2 linked regions of the Lepisosteus oculatus genome follow. Each later gene encodes a partner of the first gene's protein in a complex. Links are inferred from orthologs where the notes say so. Each region holds a gene or a part of one and is shown in the gene's direction. Other genes may lie near its edges. The genes, in order: tsen34 and tsen15.

Evidence for each region.
Region 2: the proteins of tsen34 (region 1) and tsen15 are in contact, whole or in part, in a crystal structure (PDB 6Z9U), measured with the Homo sapiens proteins. The link is inferred for Lepisosteus oculatus from reciprocal best matches to the Homo sapiens genes TSEN34 and TSEN15. Residues at the interface, in NP_001070914.1 of Homo sapiens: Pro251, Leu252, Arg253, Phe254, His255, Ala256, His257, Tyr258, Pro265, Glu266, Asp267, Thr268, Ile269, Pro270, Leu271, Gln272, Leu274, Ser283, Val284, Arg285, Lys286, Thr287, Leu289, Leu290, Cys291, Ser292, Gln294, Val300, Tyr301, Thr302; in NP_443197.1 of Homo sapiens: Leu70, Lys74, Trp76, Thr108, Pro109, Ile110, Thr111, Ala112, Ser113, Leu114, Ser115, His116, Asn117, Ile119, Arg120, Leu123, Leu141, Ile143, Val151, Tyr152, Tyr153, Lys154, Leu155, Thr156, Asp157, Gly158, Phe159, Met160, Leu161, Pro162.

What each region holds. Positions count from the first base shown.
Region 1 is NC_090708.1:2,593,802-2,605,224, forward strand, and holds tsen34 (tRNA-splicing endonuclease subunit Sen34), read left to right. Parts: upstream 1-5,917; coding exon 5,918-6,280; exon of another isoform or gene 6,281-7,188; coding exon 7,189-7,324; exon of another isoform or gene 7,325-7,923; coding exon 7,924-8,202; exon of another isoform or gene 8,203-8,528; coding exon 8,529-8,716; 3' UTR 8,717-9,058; downstream 9,059-11,423. Other genes in the region: gpr119b (glucose-dependent insulinotropic receptor), read left to right, coding at 3,101-4,021; glutamate-rich protein 6, read right to left, coding at 9,485-9,757, 9,860-10,088, 10,270-10,425, 11,262-11,344. UniProt on the Homo sapiens protein: Constitutes one of the two catalytic subunit of the tRNA-splicing endonuclease complex, a complex responsible for identification and cleavage of the splice sites in pre-tRNA. It cleaves pre-tRNA at the 5'- and 3'-splice sites to release the intron.
Region 2 is NC_090704.1:31,147,054-31,158,046, reverse strand, and holds tsen15 (tRNA-splicing endonuclease subunit Sen15), read left to right. Parts: upstream 1-5,656; 5' UTR 5,657-5,791; coding exon 5,792-5,920; intron 5,921-7,010; coding exon 7,011-7,092; intron 7,093-7,217; coding exon 7,218-7,353; intron 7,354-8,717; coding exon 8,718-8,904; 3' UTR 8,905-9,374; downstream 9,375-10,993. Other genes in the region: colgalt2b (procollagen galactosyltransferase 2), read right to left, coding at 1,100-1,335. UniProt on the Homo sapiens protein: Non-catalytic subunit of the tRNA-splicing endonuclease complex, a complex responsible for identification and cleavage of the splice sites in pre-tRNA. It cleaves pre-tRNA at the 5' and 3' splice sites to release the intron.

The sequences.
Region 1 (11,423 bases):
ATGTTTAACGCTTTGCCCTGTGTTCCAGGTTTTAAATGGCTCTCTCCACGGGCAGTGAGCTGATGTCTATGAAGGACTGCATTGAAGGCAGATTTCTGCAAGTGCAGGCTGGAAGCTCTTATCAGTCTTGCTGAACCTCTGGGAGTGCTCCTTTGAAACGGGTGACCTTGAGCATTGGGGATGTTCATTTTTATTGCAGCACGTTCATCAGGGTGCAATAAAATGTATAGTTTCAATTTTTTATTCACTAATTTGAGCCTTTGTATAGCTAAATGTTAACGTACGTTTGTTGTATTTTGTATTTCGCAGTTCAAAAAAATGTCAGATAAACATCCAAATGACATTTTTAAGTTGATTTCTGATTGGTTGTAATTTTTATATTTCTTTTTATAGCATAAAGTGGAATTAAAATTATAATAAAGTGGATTATGTCTAACAGGGAAAAAAAAGTTTGATTGTTGAGCATCTCTGCTACTCAAGTGGGATTTTTGAAGGGGTGTGCAATTAACTTAACGGTGTTTCAAGAAGGATCGCTGCATTGAGACTGTTATCTGTTCACTGTTGCATCGAGACTGTTGTCTTTTTATGTCCACTGCTTGCCAATCAACTAATTGGTCATTTTGGAAGTTCAGACTTGTGAGGATTTCATGTGACATTTGTAAACAGAAGTGTAACAGAATAATGCAGTTAGTGATTTACCAAGTACCTTTTATGAAATACTTTAAATGTTAGATTATGGTACACAAAACAGATAATTTTATGGTTACCACTTTATCACTTTGGCATTTATAAAACAACTATTTGAAAGGTATTAATAGACTGATATGTATTAGATGATAACCAGTCTCTGCTGTACAAGATGTTAGCAACAAATCCCAAATTCTGAATTGTTCTCCTAACCTAGGGTGTGCACTAATTTTTCTTAATGGTTCATGACAGAAATTAATCGTGTTAATATATTCCTTACAGAGAGTTATAAATGGGATCGAGAATAAAGTGTAAGCAATCCTGTTTGCTTTTCTTTGGATGGATTTGGATGGCTGTCTGTTTTTCCCTGCATATAAATGACAGGAATCGTCGTTTGGTGATGAACTGTTTGCTTTTATTGTATTTCTTCCTATCAAAACATTTAATCACATTGATGTCATTTACAATTCTTGGTAAGTTCTGCTAAATAAGCAGAAATGATTTGATGTTTTTTTTCCCCTGTGACAAAAGTTTAAAAGGGTTTCACAGAATTTGCATGGCTGTTGTTGGCACAGGCAAAGCAAATGCAGATCTGTAGGTGATGAGAATATTGTAGGGTCTGCGGGACAGTTTTTATACAGAACAAATGTCACCAGGCAACAGAATTGTTAAGGTGACTTCTTTTTTATTGTAGGACTCATTACTGATTAACTTTTCTGGACTGAACCTCTTCAGTTCTCCAGCTCTCTCCATGATACATTAACCTATGCTCTTGGCAGCTGTCTTTGATCCTGAATGGTGTAGAGATGTACAGTGTTTAATGTTTATAAGCCAAACATCAGCAGAGAACTTTAATGCACAACATTTGTCTCTCTTCATACATTCTTTACACACCTGGTGTGGGCTGGAGTATTTCTTAGAGCCGTTACTGATCAGGATACAGCAGTGACACGGACCAACATGAGGTGTCCTGGCCGACTCGGGTACATTCCACACCTGCCCGAGCCGAGAGCCCTTAGTTTAAGGACACCTGCTTTTTCCAGACTGTTTTTTCTCCTGCCCCAGAATTTGGGATCCTATAAAATTAGCTGTTTAAAAATGGTAAAAAAAAAAAACAACCCGACAAATTTGGAATGTAAGTCTGAAAGACATACCTGTAAAACTATATTTGATCTTCACTCCATTTCCAGTTATATTCTTATAAAAGGAGACCTTGGGTGCAAACTGGGCATTGCAGCTGCATTTAAACTTCCCATTCACCTCCGGAGTGAGAAGTCCAGGGAATTCTTGCCTTAGCCAGATCTGGGAACGTGCCAGCTTGCGCCACAAGACGGGGGACTGAAATTTCCCTAGCGCTGTGCCCAAGAGCAGGACTGTTACCCGTGTGTCCTAGATACACACTGACTCGGGCATCCCTGACGTTTCCCCTTAACTCAACTGGAGAACTGATGCCTCACTTCAGTACTGGATGAATCCCATATATAGAGAGTGTACTGTAATGAAAAGTGCTTTTTAAGTACAAGCCAATAAAGTTGCTGTTCCATGCCTCAGCTTTACAAAAGCACCCCAGTGCCTACTGCCCAATGCATGGACCTAAAAACAAGAACTCTTAAAAATCTACTTCATCCTCTCCTCATGGCTGGATGATGGTTCTGTATTAAACTACAGCAAGGAGGGATTTTCCTCCCTTTTAAACCGTAGTCTGCTTGCGTCTGACACTAAAGCAGTTTTATTGGTCTAAATAATGCTGACAGAATCAAGACGCATGTCATCGTGACATGCGAGGAAAAGTGAAATCTTTCACAGGTCTTAACCCATGGTGCTGAAAATCCTTAAGTAACTGAAATACAAAGACACCAGGGAAGCACAAAATACAGCAGTTTTAAACAGAGCCAATATTTCAGCTTGATGCCTAAATATGAACCGATTATTGTAAGAGAGCAAAAACAACATGGTTTTCCTGGAAGCAACACAGAAAAGGCGTGTACCCTCAAGTACACATTGCGCATGACCAGTTGTGATAGCTTATCTAGCCTTGTTTGAACAAGGAGAGAAACGGAAGATCTACCTGTGTATTTTGTGATAACAATTTCCCCCCTTTCATCACATCATTGCAGCAAAGTGTGGAGAGCAGTCCGAGAACCTGTGAGTTATACAACTCCAAAACGGGAGAAAACCGGACTAAATAACTTCATCGGGCTTGTCATTCAGAGGGGATCTCACAGTGAAACGGACGGATTTTCCTCTGAATAATCAGAGAGATGTGCTAACAAATCTTGGCCGTCTTGCCTGATGCTGTTTCACGAGCATTGAAACGACCTCTGGAGAACCGAGACCCGTGTCACTTTGTGCACAGCGATGACTGCAGCGATCACGGTCTGGTGAATCCCGCCGGGAACCAGCGCTGTTAGGAATGTCAGTTGTGTACGCCGTGTTGCACGCGACTTTGGGGATCTTGATTCCGGTTCCGAATATAGTTGTGATTATTGTGGCGTACAAGCTGATCAAGGCTAAGCGTGCGAAGGGCTACGTCTTCATCATCAACCTGGCCGTGGCGGACCTGCTGGTAGGGCTCATGTGCGTGGTGGAGACCCTGGACGATCTGTACGACGGCGACTTCGACAAGAATCTGACCTTCTGTCTGCTGAGGATCTGCTTCACCATCAGTCCCTGCGTGGGCTCTGTGCTGACTCTGCTGCTCATTTCTCTCGACCGGTGGCTGGCTGTGACCCGTCCGCTCCACTACCACAAAACCGTGACCAACAGGACTGTGTCGGCGGCCCTCGCTGCTCTCTGGGGTCTCTCTTTCTCCGTGGGCAACCTGCCGCTAATTGCTCCGCAGCTGCAGCAGACTAACTATACGGGCGTCTGTGGCCTTTTATACTCGACGAAGAATCAGTATCTGTACATCATTTGCTTCGTGGTCTTTATGCCCGTGTTCCTCACTTTGATCTGCGCCCAGATATTACTGGGCCGGACCGCTCACCTGCAGCGCCAGCGGATCCGGCAGGTCTCCGTCGGCCCGGCGCCCCCGCGGTCTGCGGACCTGAGACACTTCAAGGCGCTGCGCACGGTCCTCGTAGTCATCGTCTGCTTCTCCGTGTCCTGGGGGCCCTACTACATGGCCGGGCTGGTGCAGGCCTCCTGCGCCCGGTGCCACCTGAAGGCCCTGCTGAGGGACGAGCTCTTCCTGCTGGGAGAACTCAACTCGCTCCTCAACCCCCTCATCTACGCCTTCTGCAGCAACGACATCAAGTCCCGCGTGTGTCAAGCTGGCTGGTGGAAGAAGATATCGCGGGCTCGTGCACTGCAGCTCCGCCACAATAAAAACTGACAATGGTTTGGGGACCGTTGTAAGACATCCCTGTGTCTGCTAAATACAATTCCCTAACGGTTTTAAGTGTTTTCCAACTATATATATATATGTGTGTGTGCCTATTACCTTATATATTGTATATATTACTTATATACCTTATTCGTTAGGAATGCTGTGTCTTGCAACGTTTAAACTATTATTTCGAATATCGAGGATAGAGGTTGTCGTATTGAGGAATTTCAAGCTTTTTGTTATAAAGCACAACCTTTGAACTGTGATTGTTTAATGGACGTCGCGTTTTTACACATGCACTAGTGATAGCAATAAGACATCACAGCTTGTCCACGCAGACAGAAGAAACTGGACTCGTTTTCATACTACCGAGACAGAAACAATCGCACACGTCCAGGCTGCTGTTACAGACACTAGGTGGTGCTACAGGGTTTTCCTTTACCGATGAAGATATTTCTTATAAAACAATAGGACAGTCTCCAAAATACGTATTGAAGTATTTTAGGCGTGTTGTTTAACCCCTGTGACAGTATGGATTAAAAACAAGAAATAATGTTCTCTCTCGATCTGTAATCAATTCATTATTTTACAACAAAAACCTTGCCAAAGACCTACACTACGGTATTTTGGAGGCTAATAAAGATGGAAACGTCATTGTTTTTATTGTTAATTCTTAATACACATTTACTTAAAATATTGTTACTGCATTAGGTTCACTTATTAACTGTATGTATTGATTTCCTCAGCTCCGTAGTACCTCATGTAAGGAATTTAAAGCGTAACTTATTTTCCCAGTCAAAACTAAAAAATAATTCACTCCTGTTTAAACTGCGGTGCCGTGTGTGGCGACGACGAGAACCCCACAATAAAATTGCTTCTGCACGGCGTTTTTCTTAAAAAGCTTGCAAACGGATTGTCTGAAATGCGCCCCAAGAATCACCGTACCGCAGAGCGCTTCAAGTTTCAAATAACATTTCAGCAAGGTAAACGAAATAAGATTTCTCCAGTGTCTTGAATAAAGAGTCGCAGTGAGAACACAGTAAAACAGTTTCCTGCTACTTGAATGACCTAAACTCGGTCTGACACCTCCAAAGAAGGCTCCACAACCGAAACGTTTTCCTTTCCTAGAATAAACCTTTACCTGTTCCTTAAAGATACAACTTACCTCTTTATTAAGAAAACATTAAGAAAAGAGTTGATCAGACCCAGCCGAGGAGGCCGCCATGTTGACTGACGTCACCGCGTCCATGGGAACCGCCCCCAGGTCGCCGGAAACGCCCGAGCCCTTCCGGAGACGACCGAAGGCTGCCATATTAGAGTTGAAATGGGATCGAGTCGTGTTCCTCCGACCGGGTGAGCAAAACCAGTTAGAGGTTTCGTGCTCTCGCCGTTAAATAGAGATAACAGCTAGGGTTTTGCATTAGAGCTTATGTTCCACTTCTGCTTAAGCAGCTTAACCTCAGTTTGAGATCCAGTATTTCTAGGGAAAGCGTAATGTGCACGTGGAGAGCTGTCTGTTTAGATAGATGCTCCGGATTGCAAGTTATTTACACTCAAATACAACGCGTGCGTTAAATTAAGAACTGTCCAAGTTGAATATTGCATAACAAAGTAACAAGTACTAGACACCACAGTACAGCAGGGTTATTTTATTAAATATTCTGATTAAGATTATAATATCAACGTGTCTCTTCAAGATTTCCATTGCACTGTCGGACTCGAGCGAGGAAGGGTTGCAGATTTGCAGACTGAGTTTCAAGTCCGAAGGCACATAGCAGGGAAAACCCGCTGCTTGATGAGTTATGCACGCTCCGTGAAGGCTGCTGGTCGGAGATAAACGGAGCTAGGAAACGGGAGAAAAAGTTTCAGAGGAACAGATGAAATAATATAGCTGTGTACCCCATGGCCGCACACCCAGGAGAGACGGGGTTTGAAAGTGAGCCAGAGACTAGGGGGGACGGGAGATGCAAACAGCCAGCCGAACCCGGGTCCGAAGAGGAGAGGCTTCCGGTTGAGCCCGGTTTGGAGACGGGAACTGCGGCAGCCCAGGTCTATCTCTGCGGCTCCACTCCTCTGCTGTGGAGGGCAGCCGACGTCCGGGGGGCCCGGGAGCGGGCGGGGGTGGTGGGCACGCTCATCGGATCCCTGGCCCGCCAGCCCCGCCAGAACCTCCGCTTGGGCCGGCCGGCCCAGCTGCTGCCGGAGGAGGCCCGCCTGCTGAGGGACACAGGCCGCGCCGTGCTGGTCACCGCAGCTCCGCCGGAGGTGAGCGCCGTCCTGGGTTTTCCTGCCTCCGTTTCCCGACACCCCGCGGTGAGAGGCTCTGGCTGTGTCAGCTTGATAGGTGACCAAGTGACGGGGAAGATCTGGTTTAATTCATCTTGGCTCTTCTAGCACGAGAAGAATGTTTATATAATGATTTATAGCCAGTTTGTACATGGGGTACACTGATATATAAACTGGCTGTAAATTAACTCCCAGCTGGCAGTCCACTGGAGCCCAGCAGGTGTGAGCCTGGTCAGTACCTGGATGGGAGACCTCCTGGGAAAGCTGAGGCTGCTGCTGGAAGAGGTGTTAGTGGGACCAGCAGGGGGCGCTCACCCTGCAGTCTGTGTGGGTCCTAATGCCCCTCGTCCTTCGGATGAGACGTAAAGCCGAGGTCCTGACTCTCTGTGGTCTTTAAAAATCCCAGGGAGTTTCTTGAAAAGAGTAGGGGTGTAACCCCAGTGTCCTGGCCAAATTTTCACCTGGCCTTTACCAGTCATTGGCCTCTTAATAACTGGCTTCCTCTTAAGAACTGGCTGAACGGGCTTCATCGCTCTGCTCTCCTCCCCACTGAGAGCTGGTGTGTGGGGAGAGGACTGGAGCATCATCCAGGTGGGGCTGCACACTGGTGGTAGTGGAGGGGATCCCCATTACTTGTAAAGCTCTTTGAGTGGAGTGTCCAGAGAAGCGCTACATAAGTCTAAGGATTATTATTAATAACTGGATTTGGCTGCCTCACCCCCTGCCTCTCTTGCTATTGAAGTCTTTGTCTGTATTGACTTTGTCTGAAATAAGTGAAAGTCTGTGACCTTGTTCAGAATAGTTCCTCATGCGAGTGCCCCCCGAGTCTCCAGATGGGGGTCCGGAGTTTGAGTTTGAACGTCAGGTAGGAAGTTTTTTTCTTCCAGGCTGAAGATGGCGTGAGGGCAGAGGAGGTGGAGAGATACCGAGAGAGGCTGCAGCACAGCTTCCTGGAGCAGAAGAAGATCGCCCTGGAGGACAGGAAGCAGGTGTTGCAGAGAGTGATGAACCAGAAACAGAAGGGTAAAGGGCTGCAGTGAGGCGTACGCCGAGCGGTTGTACGAAGCTGGGGCTGCCTGGCCGACCTCTCCTGGCAGCCTCCCAGCTCAGAGGGGTTGTTCATGTCACACTCGCTCCGAGATGCCAGTCTGTCTTTCTCCCCCGTCCCAGACTCCTTCGCCTTGCTGTCTGCGGGCAGCTGGGGGGGAACGTCCTTGCCTGTGGAAGGGGTGCCGATCTCCTCCGCCGAACGGGGATAGGCACGCTGAGCCGGTTACGGGAGGGACTGTCCGTCTGAAGCCCAGGCCGTGTTCAGCTCTGCTGGGTGCGCCGGCCCCAGTCTCGCGCCGCTCCTGACCGCGATCGATTCCCGGCGCTCCTCGCGGCTGCCGTGTCGAATTGTGCCGCGGCAGAAAAGGACCCGCGCCTTCGCTGCTGTCCAGGGGGCGGCGCTGTGCGGCCGAGCGGGCGTGGTCGAGTGCCAGCAGGGGCAGCAGCTGAGCTCCGCCGACTCCTCGGCCCCCGCGGAGCTCCACGCTGCCCAGACCGCGGCAGGAGCTGGCTTCCCTTCTCTGGCCCGCTCGCTCGGCCCTCTGGGACTCTGACCCTTCTTCCTCTTCCAGACGGGGGCGCCGCCGGCGCGGAGCTGCCACTCAGGGATCGGCTGAGCTCCCTGGAGAGCTCCTTCACGTTCCCCGAGGCGGCGACGGCGGTGCAGCTGTGCACCGCCAGGGCGCGACTCGGGTACGAGCCGGAGGAGCGCCTCCTGATGGCCGCCGACTGGCCCCAGCCGCGCGACGAGAGAACGGAAGCGCGGTATCGGGTGTACCGGGACCTGCGGCGGCGGGGCTACTACGTCACGCCCGCCGGCAAATTTGGAGGAGACTACCTCGTCTATCCAGGTATGTATTCACCGGGAGCCTCCGACTCCGGTCCTGGAGTGACTGATCTCCTAGGGAACTCCCGGAAGTAATCAAATAAGCAAGTAACGTATTCGATGAAGGCAAATGATTCGTTAACGATCTCTAAATTGCTTAATTTAACAAGTGGCTGGTCAGGGCTAGCCTGTGGCAGGCCTGTAGAAGCCGGTGATTTCGCGATGAGCTGTGAAACCCGTTGGGTGGGGGCTCTCCTGGACCGGGGTCGGACCCTCCTGTGCTGCGTCACGCGAGACCGCGCGCACAGAGGGGTGTCCGCGCCTCAGAGTGCCTGTCCGCCTCTCCTCCAGGGGACCCCCTGCGCTTCCACGCTCACTTCATCGCCGTGTGTCTTCCCCCGGAGGCCGAGACGCCGCTCAGCGACCTCCTGGCTCTGTCCCGGCTGGGCTCCAACGTCAAGAAGACCGTGTTGCTGTGCTCCCCGGGCGAGAGCGGGGGGGTCGTCTACACCTCCCTGCAGTGGAGCGGCATGGTCTAGGCGTGGGGGCGGCGGTGAGGAGGAGGGGGCTCCTGTGGGGTGCGGAGGGACGCCCCGGGGTCCCGCCGATGACGAGGGTGCTGTTGGAAAGTGTGCACAGGCTGGCCTTTCAGATGACCTTCCTCCCTGCCAGCACTGCGCCGTTCCCGTGCCCGTCTCACAGATGTGCCTTTCTGCCTTCGGAGTCGGCTTTCTTCTTTTAACCTGGACGAACCTCAAGCCTGCTTGGACGGAGTTCTGCGCCTTTGCTACTTGCACAGCTGGAGTAATAAAAATCCAGTGGTCAGGAGGGGGTATCGTTCTGTATGGATAAAGACAATAAATGACTTTTTTTAAGGGAAATCTCGTTTTTCTTTTGTTTAACATACATGGCATAATCTAGCTTTAGCACGTGAGAACTGTGATTGAGGAATGCAGTTTTAATATTCCACGCAGACAGGATTAGAAGCATCATGTCTGTTGCTTGCAGAGATGGGCTCCTGGGCCCCCCCACAACCCTGATGTGGGTGAAGCAGTTAAGAGAAGAGATGGGTGAAAGTCTGAGAGGAGACGGCTGTGTTTGTCGTGTTTGCACAGCGTGTTCCAGGGTCGTGTGTTACACTCCTATATACGAAGAAAAAAGGACTGGCGCGCCTTTACTTGAACACAGCCCTGTCAGTTCACAGCTGGCGGTAATGGAAGAGTTTCCCGTTGATCGTGCAGCTGCTTTGCCGGGCTGGCGCGAGCTTTTCCCGCGCGGCCTTTGGCGGAGCGGGGTGGCCGGCGAGGTCACAGGCAGTCTTTCACCGAGCCTTCGATGAACGCCCTCTCTCCCTCGTCCAGCGGCAGGGCCCCCGCCGAGCAGACGCTCCACAGCCTCCGGCTGAGCGAGGTCAGGTACGAGGGGGGCTTGGGTCTGGGCGGCTGCCCGTGGGCGGGGAAGCGCAGGCAGCTGTGCAGCTTGTGCAAGGCGGAGTGCAGCTTTATCCTCCCCGCCAGCAGGAGCAGGTCCTCCTTCAGCAGGGCGGGCCTGACGGGGGGAGCGAGTCTGGGCTCCTTTACCTGGGGGAACGACGAGACGGTTACCGGCTGACGGCAGCTGAGAGCCCCTCCCCAACACCGGGGGACGGGTCTGATTCATGCCTTCCAGAACGCGTGCTGCACCTGCAGGACCGTGCCCACGCTGAACCTGGCCTGCTGCCCCAGAGCCAGGAAGGACACGGACATCTTCCTTTGTTCCAGCACGCGGACGCCGACGTGAGGGTTCAGCGACAGGAACAGGGGCTTGAAGGGGGATGGCCGATCGGAGGCAGGGAGCTCGCTCCACCTCCACCTCCGCAGCTTGGCGCCCCTCTCATCCAGGCACAGCCCGCCGAAAAGATCGATGCTCAACCTGCGCCGCACAGGGGGGGAAATGATCATCATGGCGATGCTTTTGCATTTGAGACTCAAATGGATCGTCTTGGGCTGTTTCTGTTCATTGGTGCATGAGCAATGTTGATTCAATCACTGCACTTCAGGGCAAAGAATTGTTACAGAAAAAGAGCTAACCGGAAATTGGAGACGGACCCTACCAAACAACTCCATTCGGGTGATAGCAAGTGGCTTTTCCGTTGGACTGGAATATGGCCCGGATGGCCGCTTCTCCCAGCCTGTCCTCCTGCACCACGCATGCGGATTCATTTTTCTCATTGACAATGACCAGGATTGACAGGTTTCCAGAGGGATAACTAGGATGCTGATGATAAGGAACATGAAACAAGCTATATCGCGTTAAAACAAGGGTAAATCAGCACGAGTGATGGAAAAAATTGAAGAGATGCTTATCCCAAGTGCTTGATACATACGCTTATAAAAGCAAACAATGGCAATCTCTGGCACAGGGAGAAATTAAATTGACAAGCAAGGTTAGGACTCTGTCTTTTACCACACCTTTATGCATTTCAGATACTGAAAAGCAGAGTACCAGTAAGTATATTTAAGACAAAGATCACAAAAAGCTTATGAAGGCCTCCCTAGCACTGGAATAGGGTATATATAAAATCTACAAGATAGTTATTGGATTATTCTTTAGTGAATTCAAGTACATTGTAGATCAAGGAGGGTTTTTCATTAGCATTGCATATAACTCCCCTCTGCTGGGATGATCACAATGATTCTCATATTCTTTCATCTGGTTTCTGGAGCTCCGCTAGGTTGCTTTGTTACTTATGCAAACTAAAGAGAAAAACAAACCCTCATCTGCATTTCAAGGCCTACAGAGAATTAAAGAACAGACTATTATTTAGTTGCACAATGGATATATCTTGAGCTGTCTAAATACAGGCACACACCTGTGTTCTTCACTCCTCTTCCTCCTCGAGAAGGAGAAGAATGAGCACTGAATGCATGGCCTGATCTGAAAGGTGTGCAGACAGGTGTGGGGGAAAGAAATAGCACAGAGGTAGTCCACCACATGCAGCTCCCATTGATGGAGAGCAATAACGTCTTGATTGTGAGGGGTCACAATACTGACCCCACTCCTGCTCAGGATTTGAAGTCGAGGTGCCTGCAGTCGGAAGGATACAAGACTTGAGCTGAGCCATCAGGGAAAATGGTCAGGAACTTTTTCCCATTGGCGTAGTATTTCTCTGTGAATTTCTCCTTATCCTGTAAAAGACAGAAAGCATGTGACAAAATGCTTTAAAAGACTGTTAAGGAAGGATAAAATACTGTGGTAGATTTAAGG
Region 2 (10,993 bases), on another chromosome or scaffold:
GACCACATTGCAATGGGGAGGTCTGAAATGATCTTGAAAATGAAAATGTGCAACATGCCTTGTGCTTGTGTAACTGGGGCGCCGTCTCCAGCAGCATGGTGTCAATCGGACATCCCGCGGCTTCATCTCATTACTCAAGGCGAACTCCATGACCCTGGGACAAGCCTTCAGAATCCCCACGCCAAAGAACCGGACTGGGGTCTGCGTTTAAAAAGCCTTGATTCAAAATGAATCGCCTTATTCTTTTTTCAAAGTTTAAATCGAAACAGACTCAACTTTCTTAACCTAGTCAATTGCTCCTGCTTGCCCTGAAGATTTTTTCGTCGAAGCTTTCGAATCATGACTTTACTGGAGCGCACGGTAGGCGCTCACGGATGGCGGAGTCTGTGCGGGGAGATCTGGCACCGCCGAGCCCTCAATTATCCGGCGCATCAATAAGGTTCTAATCAGCAAAGTCTTAATAACAGGTGGGATAAGGCCTCTGCTCCCACAGGTGACACGCAGCTCGCTTAACCCAAATCCCCTGTCAAGGTGCGCGCAGGCCGACCCAGCAGCTTGCAAACCCACATGAAAGACCGAGCTGACGAGTCAGCGCTGCGTGTCTTCTCCCGCCCCTTCCTCTCTCTCTCTCTCCCCAGAAACGCAGTAATGATCCCTCTCCTTCTCCCAGATTTGAACATGCACCACTTCAAAAAGCGCACCCTCGGCGGAGCTGTCAGAACGGGTTATAGCCCAGGCGGATGGGGTGCCGGAATTCGCTGCCGACTCAGGCATGACCGACTCGGGCAGAAGGGGATTAAAGTTTTAAAGTCACCACGAACCTTTTCAAAGTCTCTGCTGTACCAGCACGGTACGCAGACGTACTGTACATACACACACTAAACGCACTAACCGGAAGGCTCAGACGTTAGAAGTCTTTTTAAAACTACCGCTTTTAATTTTTTTTTTTTTATCGCGGCATATAGGCGAGGCTTTAAAACCCTGCTTAAAAACGTTTTGCCACTTTACGCGAAAAGCGTGTTTCTCATTGCACGCTTCCCGTAACATACATGACCGAAGGAAGGAAAGAGTGTACAAAGGCAGGTGAGCGGGCTCTTACCAGATAGCGATGCGCTCCTTGGGGTAGTCCAGGCGTTCAATACAGCCCAGGTGGAAGGGCAGGCTGTGCGCGGCGTTCCTGGCCAGGATCGCGATCAGCACTTTGGGCTTGAGCAGCGCGGACTCGGGCCGGGCTGCGCCCTGAACCAGGGTCATCAGCTCCGAGCCCGCTCCCGAGAGGAGAGCGGCGAGGAGGGCGGCGAACACCGCGAGGGACAGGAGCCTGACACGCGGCATGATTCCCCGGAGAGCACCGCTGTCCGCGACGACCTGGGCTCCGGCGTAGCTGCCTCGCCCTGCTCCGCTGCTCGCTCGGAGAGAGAGACTGGCTGAATGAGAAGGACTTTTCCACAGCTCTCTGCTCTGGGGCTGGCGTCTCTTCCCCCCCTCTCCCCCCACCCCCTCGCTCTCTCTGAACTCGGGTATGCGGTAGGACCCCCAGCTGCCTCTTTCAAACAATGTCTTCACAAGAGCAGCGCCCCGCCGACGGACCTCTGCCCCAGCTGTAGCCCCACACTGGGTCCGGCTCGGTGTGTGGAGCGCTTACTGGGTCACCGCGTTAACGCGCGTTCCCATGGAAACCTCCTCTTCTGAATGTGCTACAGGCTGTAGTCGTCTTCTCTCAACTTTTTTCTTTTATCTTTCTGGTCTGGTGTTACGGGTTTAAACGTCATTCCAGTATTATCCCCCTAATCTCGCACTATCTCGCTTCACTGTATTCAGCGAGAAGAAGGGTGGGTGTTTTGACTAGTCTAACGATCCTAATTGTTTTGGCGTGTCCTGCTGTGTCGTCATGGCTGTTTGGCTCCTGTAAACCGGTCCCAGCTGACACAGTATTCCTGAAACTTTTATAAATCGATGTCGACGCCAGATTTGTGTAACGTATTAGAATTACACAAAACGTGTAGAAATACGCACTAGCACAAAAGCGCGACACAAGTCCGAACCTTTTTGCTACTGCGTTAAACAGAGCCCATAGGTGCTGGTCGTTTTAGGTCTGGTCCAGCTCTATCGTCTCAGACAGCTGTAGTCTGTGTAGGTCGCACTGTCCTGTCTCACCAAAGCTCTGGATTGAATGCTCTGGAGCCACCGTGTGTTTGAGTGATGTGTGTGGCTGGGCGCAGGGTCTCAAGACGGGCACGGTTTTAATGGCACCGGTCCCAGGTGCCAGTGGGAGGCTGGGTGCCAGACATTGCCAGATTGCTGCAGCAGTGACTACAATCGCATTTTTCATGTATGAGCGCAACCGATGGCTTTGCCTTGTGTCTCGTTAACAACTTCTCCGTCTATTAAAAAAATCCCATAAAATGCAGTGGGTGAGGATTTTAACTTCACGGCCAATTCGTCCAGCATTCCACTGTATTACCATTTATTTTAGTACTCCACTAATGTAATTCTTCATCTACTTCTTAGACTGCTAGTAAAATTGCTGTATTACTGAAGCATTTTGGATATCGTGTTGTGACAACTGTCAGTGAATACAGCCTGCGAACAAGCTGAGGTCGTGAGAAAACGTTTCAGCTGTGTTGCCTCTCCAGGTGTGTGGGGGTGAGGAAGACTGTGAGGGTTTGAGGATAGAGGAGACCGCAGAAATAACTTTGTGAGGACGGTGAGGGAGAAGATGATATGGAAGCCCGTTTCCGCCAGGGAGGAAAAAAAAAACGCGCTATGCTATCTCAGAATTCCGACTTAGTATCTCAGAATTGCGATTTAGTAACTCAGAATTACAACTTAGTAAGTCAGAATTCCGACTTAGTATCTCAGAATTGCGACTTAGCAACTCAGAATTCTGACTTAGTATCTCAGAATTGCGACTTAGTATCTCAGAATTACGACTTAGCAACTCAGAATTCCGACTTAGTATCTCAGAATTCCGACTTAGTATCTCAGAATTGCGACTTAGTAAGTCAGAATTCTGACTTAGTATCTCAGAATTGCGACTTAGTAAGTCAGAATTCCGACTTAGTATCTCAGAATTGCGACTTAGCAACTCAGAATTCCGACTTTATATCTCACATTTGTGACTTCGAAATAGCCGTATTCCATTGTCTGTCCTTTTGTTATTGTAACGGATTCAGGTTCTAGGGATTGTGCCCTCGCCGCTCCCACCCTAGTTCGTGCCTCGCTGCACTGGCTCGAACCTGAGTCTTGCCAGCTGAGCTAAAGAAGACCTTCTTTTTTAAGTAAAAAAGGACATACAATGGAAATACGTAAAAAGTATGTTTCAGCTTTTATAATTGTGAATTCTTCTGGATGTGAAGTGCCTATTTCTGTATCTTATTTCATATTCTGTCTACGTAAATAAAAACTATTTTAAAAAGCCCACCGTGCACTATTCCATCCGGGTACTATGGAAGCCTCACTGGCGGAAATGGGATTCTATAAAAATTAGTGTAATTAATTTGATTTTTATCAGGGCACTGTACAGGACAAGTCTTCAGGCTTATAGATCCTATGATCCTGTACGATTCATGAAAATAGTGTAACGGAACGGCCGACATACAGGTTGTACGATCTGGTTGCAGTACACCACCCTCCCCTGCGCATAACAGGGATGCTGGGGTTAAAGAAAGTGAGCCAGTGCAGCGAGGCACGAACAAGGGTGGAAGCGGCGAGGGCACAAGCCCTAGAACCCGAATCCGTTACAATAACAAAAGGACAGACAATGAAATACGGCTATTTCGAAGTCACAAATGTGAGATATAAAGTCGGAATTTTGAGTTACTAATTCGGAATTCTGAGTTGCTAAGTCGCAATTCTGAGATACTAAGTCGGAATTCTGAGTTGCTAAGTCGGAATTCTGAGTTGCTAAGTCGCAATTCTGACTTACTAAGTCGCAATTCTGAGATACTAAGTCGGAATTCTGAGTTGCTAAGTCGCAATTCTGAGATACTAAGTCAGAATTCTGACTTACTAAGTCGCAATTCTGAGATACTAAGTCGGAATTCTGAGTTGCTAAGTCGCAATTCTGAGATACTAAGTCGGAATTCTGAGTTGCTAAGTCGCAATTCTGAGATACTAAGTCGGAATTCTGAGTTGCTAAGTCGCAATTCTGAGATACTAAGTCGGAATTCTGAGATACCATAGCGCGTTTTTTTTCTTCCTTCCTGGCGGAAACGGGCTTCCATAAGATGAACAGGGGGCCATAGAGATGGAAATCTGCGAGACAAGATTCCAGAGGAACCGTGATGGGCAACAGTCTCAGCTAAGGGGGAGATTAGAAAGGGATTCGTCGATACCCCCCAGCCTGTTAAATCTGTTACACGTGGGAATTCTATTGAGTCTTCCACTGGAAATCAATTTCGATCAATTTAATATTACAGTACTTGTGCTGTCGGGACTGAGGTTCCACCAAGACACAGAGGGACTCATTTTAACCCCCAACTCACGAACACAGGACAGACTTCCTGCAGTTGAGTTCTTAGAGACCAGCTCAGTGTAGCAGCTACTGTAAGCGGCACAGTCCTGTCTTCTTGCCGAAAAACAACAGGAGCACCGCTGCGATCTGTACACACCCACCGAGCCGTCGTGCAGCGAAGCGCGGCTGCTGTATCAAGCGCCTTGGAAAATGAATCCCCACAGCTCGGTTTGAGTGACAGCGCCTCACCCACTGGGGCTCACACAACTGTTCCCCCCGCAGAGGAAAAACACACTTCGACTGTGGGTGAAGAGGGAAAACCCAAACTGATTCGTCAGTCTCTCCCACACCCTCTCGCTCTTGCTCTGCTTCCATCGCCCCCCTCTTTGGATGAGCAGTTCAAAGCGTGAGGACACGACCGATGACCTCACTTCACAGCTGCATAGCACCCAGGTGGCTCTAAACACTGTAATAGAGATTGTCCAGTCATTCATTCCTTTGATTACATATTTAACCGGCAATGTTATAATCGGCATAGCTCAGCATGGTCTAATAATGTAGCAGTGTGTGTATACTTGGCAGAGCAGAGTGTGGTGTTTTGTGGCGCGGTCTGTTCGTGTGAGGATGGGTGTGAGTATGCTGTGTCGAATTAATCCGGAGGCAGCACACCAGAAGACCGGCTGTCGAGATGCTACGAAAGCAGACAACTACATGGACGATGGTACTACTTCAAACTGGGCTTTGTCCCCCTCTGGTGGAGAAATCTGGAACTCTCAAGCCTCACTCACTACACATAGCGCTGAACTGACTACAAGAACCAAAAAGCACTGCGAGCAGACTGGGAACGTATACTGTAAAGGGAAAATTTTCCAAATGTATACATTGGGCTTGTATTTTATTATTAGTTGTCAAAATGGAATCATAATTGTCACAACTTGTTTCGAATTGCACTATCATTTTATTCATTCTCTGTCTGCCCTAAACCCCAGACCTAGTTTCTAGTGACTGACAGGCAAACGGGCACACTTTGTAAGTTTTTTGGTTACTCGTCCAGAGTTTATTTTCTGTGATTATTGTGGTAGCGGATTGAATTGAAAATGGGATTAAATATGGCCACACGAATCGCTTGCTTTAAACGATGCAGGGCTCGGGTATTAAAGGAACGTTTAAGGCGGAACCTAAAGTCTGTGCATGGAGTTTCTTGTCGGACGGAGATGTAGTCGGGCGCGCAGTGTTAGTAAGGAACATGTGGTTTTAGATACGGATAATTGTGAGTAAGAGCCGTCGGTCGCTCTGTCACAGCGATGCAGCTCTGATTGGTGGTCAGCGGGAGAGATGGACGTGGAGGTGACCGTGACCTCGGAAGAGGGGTGTGCTGTGGGTGAGCCCGAGTCTGAGGAGAGCCCCAGGGGAGCGGAGAGACAGCGAGACCTGCCCGCTAACTGGATACTGCAGCACCCCAAGGTACCAATTCAGCCGAAAGCCGAATTCATAACACTCGCTTTACAGTTGCTCTGCAGTAGACCTGCAGTATAATTACACACGGAAAAGGGAAGAGAAGAAATGATTCACTTGGTGAGGGGTGTAGAACAGTTCTTTTCGAGAGCTTTCTAGGTATTTATACACTCAAATAGCTGCTTTCTGCTGCTGTAGGAGCGAGTAGTGTCCACCCTGTAGTAGTGCGAATCTTCTAGCCTGATCTGCTCAGAGCTCAGAAGCTAGGCAGGCTGAGTCTGATCTGGTCTGTACTGGGGTGCGAGACCTCCAAGGAGGAAACGGCTGCTGGTGTTGGTGGACCAGTAGGGGGTGCTCTTCCCTGTGGACCAGAATGCAAGCCAAAGCACCCTTGTGGGGAAACGGCAATAGGTGGAGCCATCCTGCAGATGAGATACTAGACTGAATTGCGTGGTCTGTGATGATCCCTCGGCACTGTTTATAATAATAACAATTGCTTAATATAGTGCTTTTCTGGGCACTCCACTCAAAACACTTTACAGGTAATGGGGACTCCCCTCCACCACCACCAATGTGCAGCCCCACCTGGATGATGCAAAGGCAGCCATAGTGCGCCAGAACGCTCACCACACACCAGCTATCAGTAGGGAGGAGAACAGAGTAATGAAGCCAATTCATAGATGGGGATTATTAGGGGGCCATAATTGATGAGGGCACATGGGAAATTTAGCCAGAATGCTCGGGGTTACACCCCTACTCTTTTCAAGAAACGCCCTGGGATTTTTAATGACCACAGAGAGTCAGGACCTCGGTTTTATATCTCACCCAAAAAACAGCGCCTTTTTACAGTATAGTGTCCCCGTCACTATACTGGGGCATTAGGACCCTCATAGACCGCAGGGTGAGTGGCCCCCTGCTGGCCCCACTAACACCTCCTCCAGGAGCAGCCTTAGGTCTCCCATCCAGGTACTGACAGAGCTTCAGTGGGCTGCCGGCTGTGAGTTGCAGTGTGATGTGGCTGCTGGCAAATTTCTCCTGCTCCACACCCACACCTGTGTGAAGTGTGCTGTGCTCTGCTCTGACGGTGACCCTGTCTCAGTACCAGGAGCTGATGAGCCTCGAGCTGGGGGACTCAGCCCAGGTGTATGCTGCCTTCCTGGCCTACGTGGACCTCACTGAAGGTGGGTGTGTGTTGGTGTCTGTGCGCGCTCTTGCAGTGGCTGCTGGATTGTGCCTGTGCTCGCGGTGCGACAGGGACTTTAAACTGCTCTGCGTGTGGGGTGCCTGTCTCTTGTCCCCTGTGCAGTGCGGCAGTGGCAGGATGTGTCCTGCAGGGGGAGCTCCGAGCTTCAGCTGGTGCTCCTGGAGGGGCGGGAGAGAGAAGGCCAGCCCACGCAGCTTGTCGTACCGGTTCCGGCCCAGAGGTCCATCAGTCACAGCTGGTAAGAAAGTGCCAGGTCAGAGGTCAGAGGTCAGAGGTCAGGGGGCGGGGTTTGGCAGGAGAGTCTGGAGGGGGGGGGGGGCTTCTTGCCTCACCAGTCACAGCTAGTGAAACTTGACTCAGTATCTGGACTGGCTTCAGGAGGGAGGAGGAGTGAAAAAATGGAGAAAAGCAGGGCAGATTTCACCCCGTAGCCCAGACCTGTTTGGCTCAGGCCTGGCAGGTCTCATTAGCTGCTCAGAGGCTCAAACCACACACTGCCACCCTAGTGTGCATTTAAACCAGGGTGACGCTGTCATTGGAAACAAAATCACCTTCACCTCCTGAAACTGGGATCCTGGAGCAAAGTCAGTGGTACAGAGGAAAGGCTTTGATTTTAGCCGCTGGATTGAGAAAACGGCGAGAAAACTTTCGGCTCCATTGCATCATATTCCTTAAATTGCTGCCAGGCCCCCTAGGAGATGAGAGTGAGCCACGAGGTGCGCAGTGAGAAAAGAAGGACGGGCACCGTTCTGAAACGCGATGAGAGGCCGGCCGAGCCAGGGCAGTGACTGGAGAAACAGTGTCGCTGTCGCCCTGTTTCAGATGAAAAGCCAATCAGCTGTACAGTCAGTAACGAAGTGACGGTGCCGCTAATTGACTTAATGCACTGAAGCTAAAAGCCTCACCTCTAAGTAAAATAATTCTGTGAAAGGCACAGTTGGTTCTCTCTGCTGGGCTGTATCTCCATCAGCAGTGCACAGATGGCACAGCACCTCCTAAGTCCTGTTTTCAGAGACTCAGTGTCCCTGTTATATAACCAACACAGTACACGACTCTACCTGCCCTCTAGTCTGCTCCTGTACACAAGTTCCACATCTTTGAGCTTGCCAGCTCAGCCACGCCTGCAGTGTTTCAATCATGCAGGCATGACCGCCCTGCACAGCGGTCGGGTTTTCTAGACCACTGGGAGCTGGAACTGGATCGAGCCTGTGGCACCATCGCGTCTGCAGGGGAATCTGACCGCGCGGCTGTCGCATGTTCGCGAATGGGTCCCTCTTATCTCCTTGCGCGAGGGGCGATTGTTAGCTGGAAGGCGTGAGCACACACACATGTGTGTATATATATATAAAAGAGACCCCGGGAAGCCTGCGGACGCAGACACAGAGACGGAAGCTCTGTTCTGGGACAGCCCTTCGCCAGGCGGGCCCGTGATCTGCTCACCTGCTTCCTCGCGCAGTGCCTGGAGGAAGACTCCCTGCCTCTTGGGAAGCCCGGGCCGTTTCTGAACCGGCAGCGCTGCGGTTGCAGTGGTGTCTCCTGGCCCCGAGACTCACAGGCTCCCTCTTCCCCTTCCTGTGCCTCCGTTTCTCTCCTGTCTCCCAGGATCCAGACGCTGCTGGGCTCCCCGGGCCCTGGGGGGGCCTCCCCAGCCTCCATGCTGCTCTGCGCTGTGGCCCCTGACTCCAGCCTGGTCTACCACCGGCTGACCGCTGGCCTGCTGACCCCCAGCCCCCCTGAGGACATCGCGGACCAGGATCACCGGCAGCACCGCAAGAGGCGCCTGCGCTGAGGTCGCGGGGTAAATGGCGTGGCACACAGGGCTCATGGCCAATGCTACAAGCCACCTGAGGGCATTTCCAGGTCACCACTGCACATAGGAGGTCCTGATACTCCAGTGGCCGGGTACCATTGAGGGGAGCGGACCCCGATTCTCAGGAAGCGATACCAAGGGCACAAAGCTTCTGGACACTGCAGACCAATCAGTTGTGTGGAGCCTGCTCTCTGCAGTGAAGAAGCCAGAGCTGTGAGAATCCGGACAGAGACTGATCACTGATCTGGAGGGAGGAAAACAGTGGAGAAGCAAGTCCCTGACACTTGCTGGGCAACTGGGCACCAACACACTGGCACCCTGTTTAACCTACACCACGTCCCCTTGACATTCAGATCCCCACTGTTCTGTACTGCTTCTACACTGGATCTGCTCAGAAGCGCTGTACAAATCAAGGAACTCACGAATCATAAATATTTTTTTAAAAGGCAGTGCCATTTTCTCCGTTTGTGAGCACCCCACCACAGACAGATGATGTAGTGTTAGAGTAACAGCCAGGAAAGTTTGTTTCTTTATGGGCTGGGGCTTGGCAGCTGCCCCTCTGCATTCCGCTCACCTCTGGAGTATGAGCTCACTAGCGCACGTTTTCCACAGGCCCAGGCCTCAGACTAGCCAGTGCGCCGTTCCCCTACTACCCACCAGGGGGCGGGAGAGCGCTTCTTTTGGTTCACAGTTGCTGGCGTTCAGGGCCTCAGGGCCCTGAGGTTTGAGCTCCAGCCCAAGCCCTAAATTAACATTGTTGATTTGCTTAACTAGGCCTATTAAGCATGATTTTGGCAAGGTTTCGTTTTGGGCTGATGCTTTAAATGAGGCGTTTAGTTTACAATATAGTAGCTGGAAACCCTTGAGGCTTGAGGGGAAAAAAAGTGCTACATGTTCCCAGTTAGTCAAAGACGTTGTTCCGTGAAGTAATGGAGCGTTTGGCTGGAGAGCAGTGGCTGACTGAAGGATGGTAAAGTCCCAGTAAACTCCTGTGGTCCTGCCCCGGGGTGTTGATATTGAGTATGAGGAATGTTTGAGCTGTTTTCTTCAGTTACTTTTCAGTAGGAGCATGCAAACTTTTATGCTGCAAGTCAGTCGGGTCAAGGAGCAGCACCTGAGATCAAGCTGAAAAGGCGCCGGCACCTTTCCTTCAAGCTTTAAAAGACAGTGCAGTACAGGGATTGGGACAGCAAGAGTCTACTGTTGTAGACATACTTATTAGCCTCTGGATCTGATCTGAAACTGTTATTTACACATTCATTAAGTAAAAATAGTGTGTCAAATTATAGAGTTGAGAAGGATACAATTGCTTATAGAGGATGTAAAGTTTGCAGACATTATTATTTGCACTCTGGATCTTAAAGGAGTTAATTTAGCAGAACATCCAAGCCCGTAACTTTCAAGGATGAACGGCTGAGAATGATCAGGATTATTTTAAGGGGTGAGGCTGCCAATAATTTAAATAACCAGCACATTAACAATGATTAATGACTAAGATTGTTGGGCGATAGAGATGGCGTGTTCTGGCCTGAGCTCAGCGCTAATGTAACAGATTTGGGGTGTGGAAAGATAACAGTGGAGGTTTTTGCTCATTTCTATCAGCACTTCGACGCATTGGAGAGGAGACATACAAGAGCAAATCGTACACCATTCTTTCCGTTTTAAGGGCAATTTAACATCCCAGTGCTGTCTCTTAAGCGCCCTAGTGTTTGAGGTGCTGCACGCCTCCCCACGCAAATTTCACCCCAGTGTCCAAGCCTCCTGGGCGCCTGATGTCAGCAGACCCCAGAGGAGCAGTGTTGGGAAGCCAGACTCCATAATCTGGACCAGTGGCCTCTGGCCAGCGAGAAGGAGGAGTGGGGGGGGGGCTGCTTGAGATCAGCTTGCGGGTGCAGTCTGAACCCCATGCTCCTAGCTGAATGGGTGCTCCAGCCACCTTACATCTGACCTCTCTGCTCCGATTGCTCAGGTCCCCACCTGTTCTCCCAGGTAGGGAGGTGCTGGAATCCCCCCGGGCAGGGTGCTGCAAACGCAGAGGCAGGACTGCTCTGGGGGTCCTCTGAGTAAC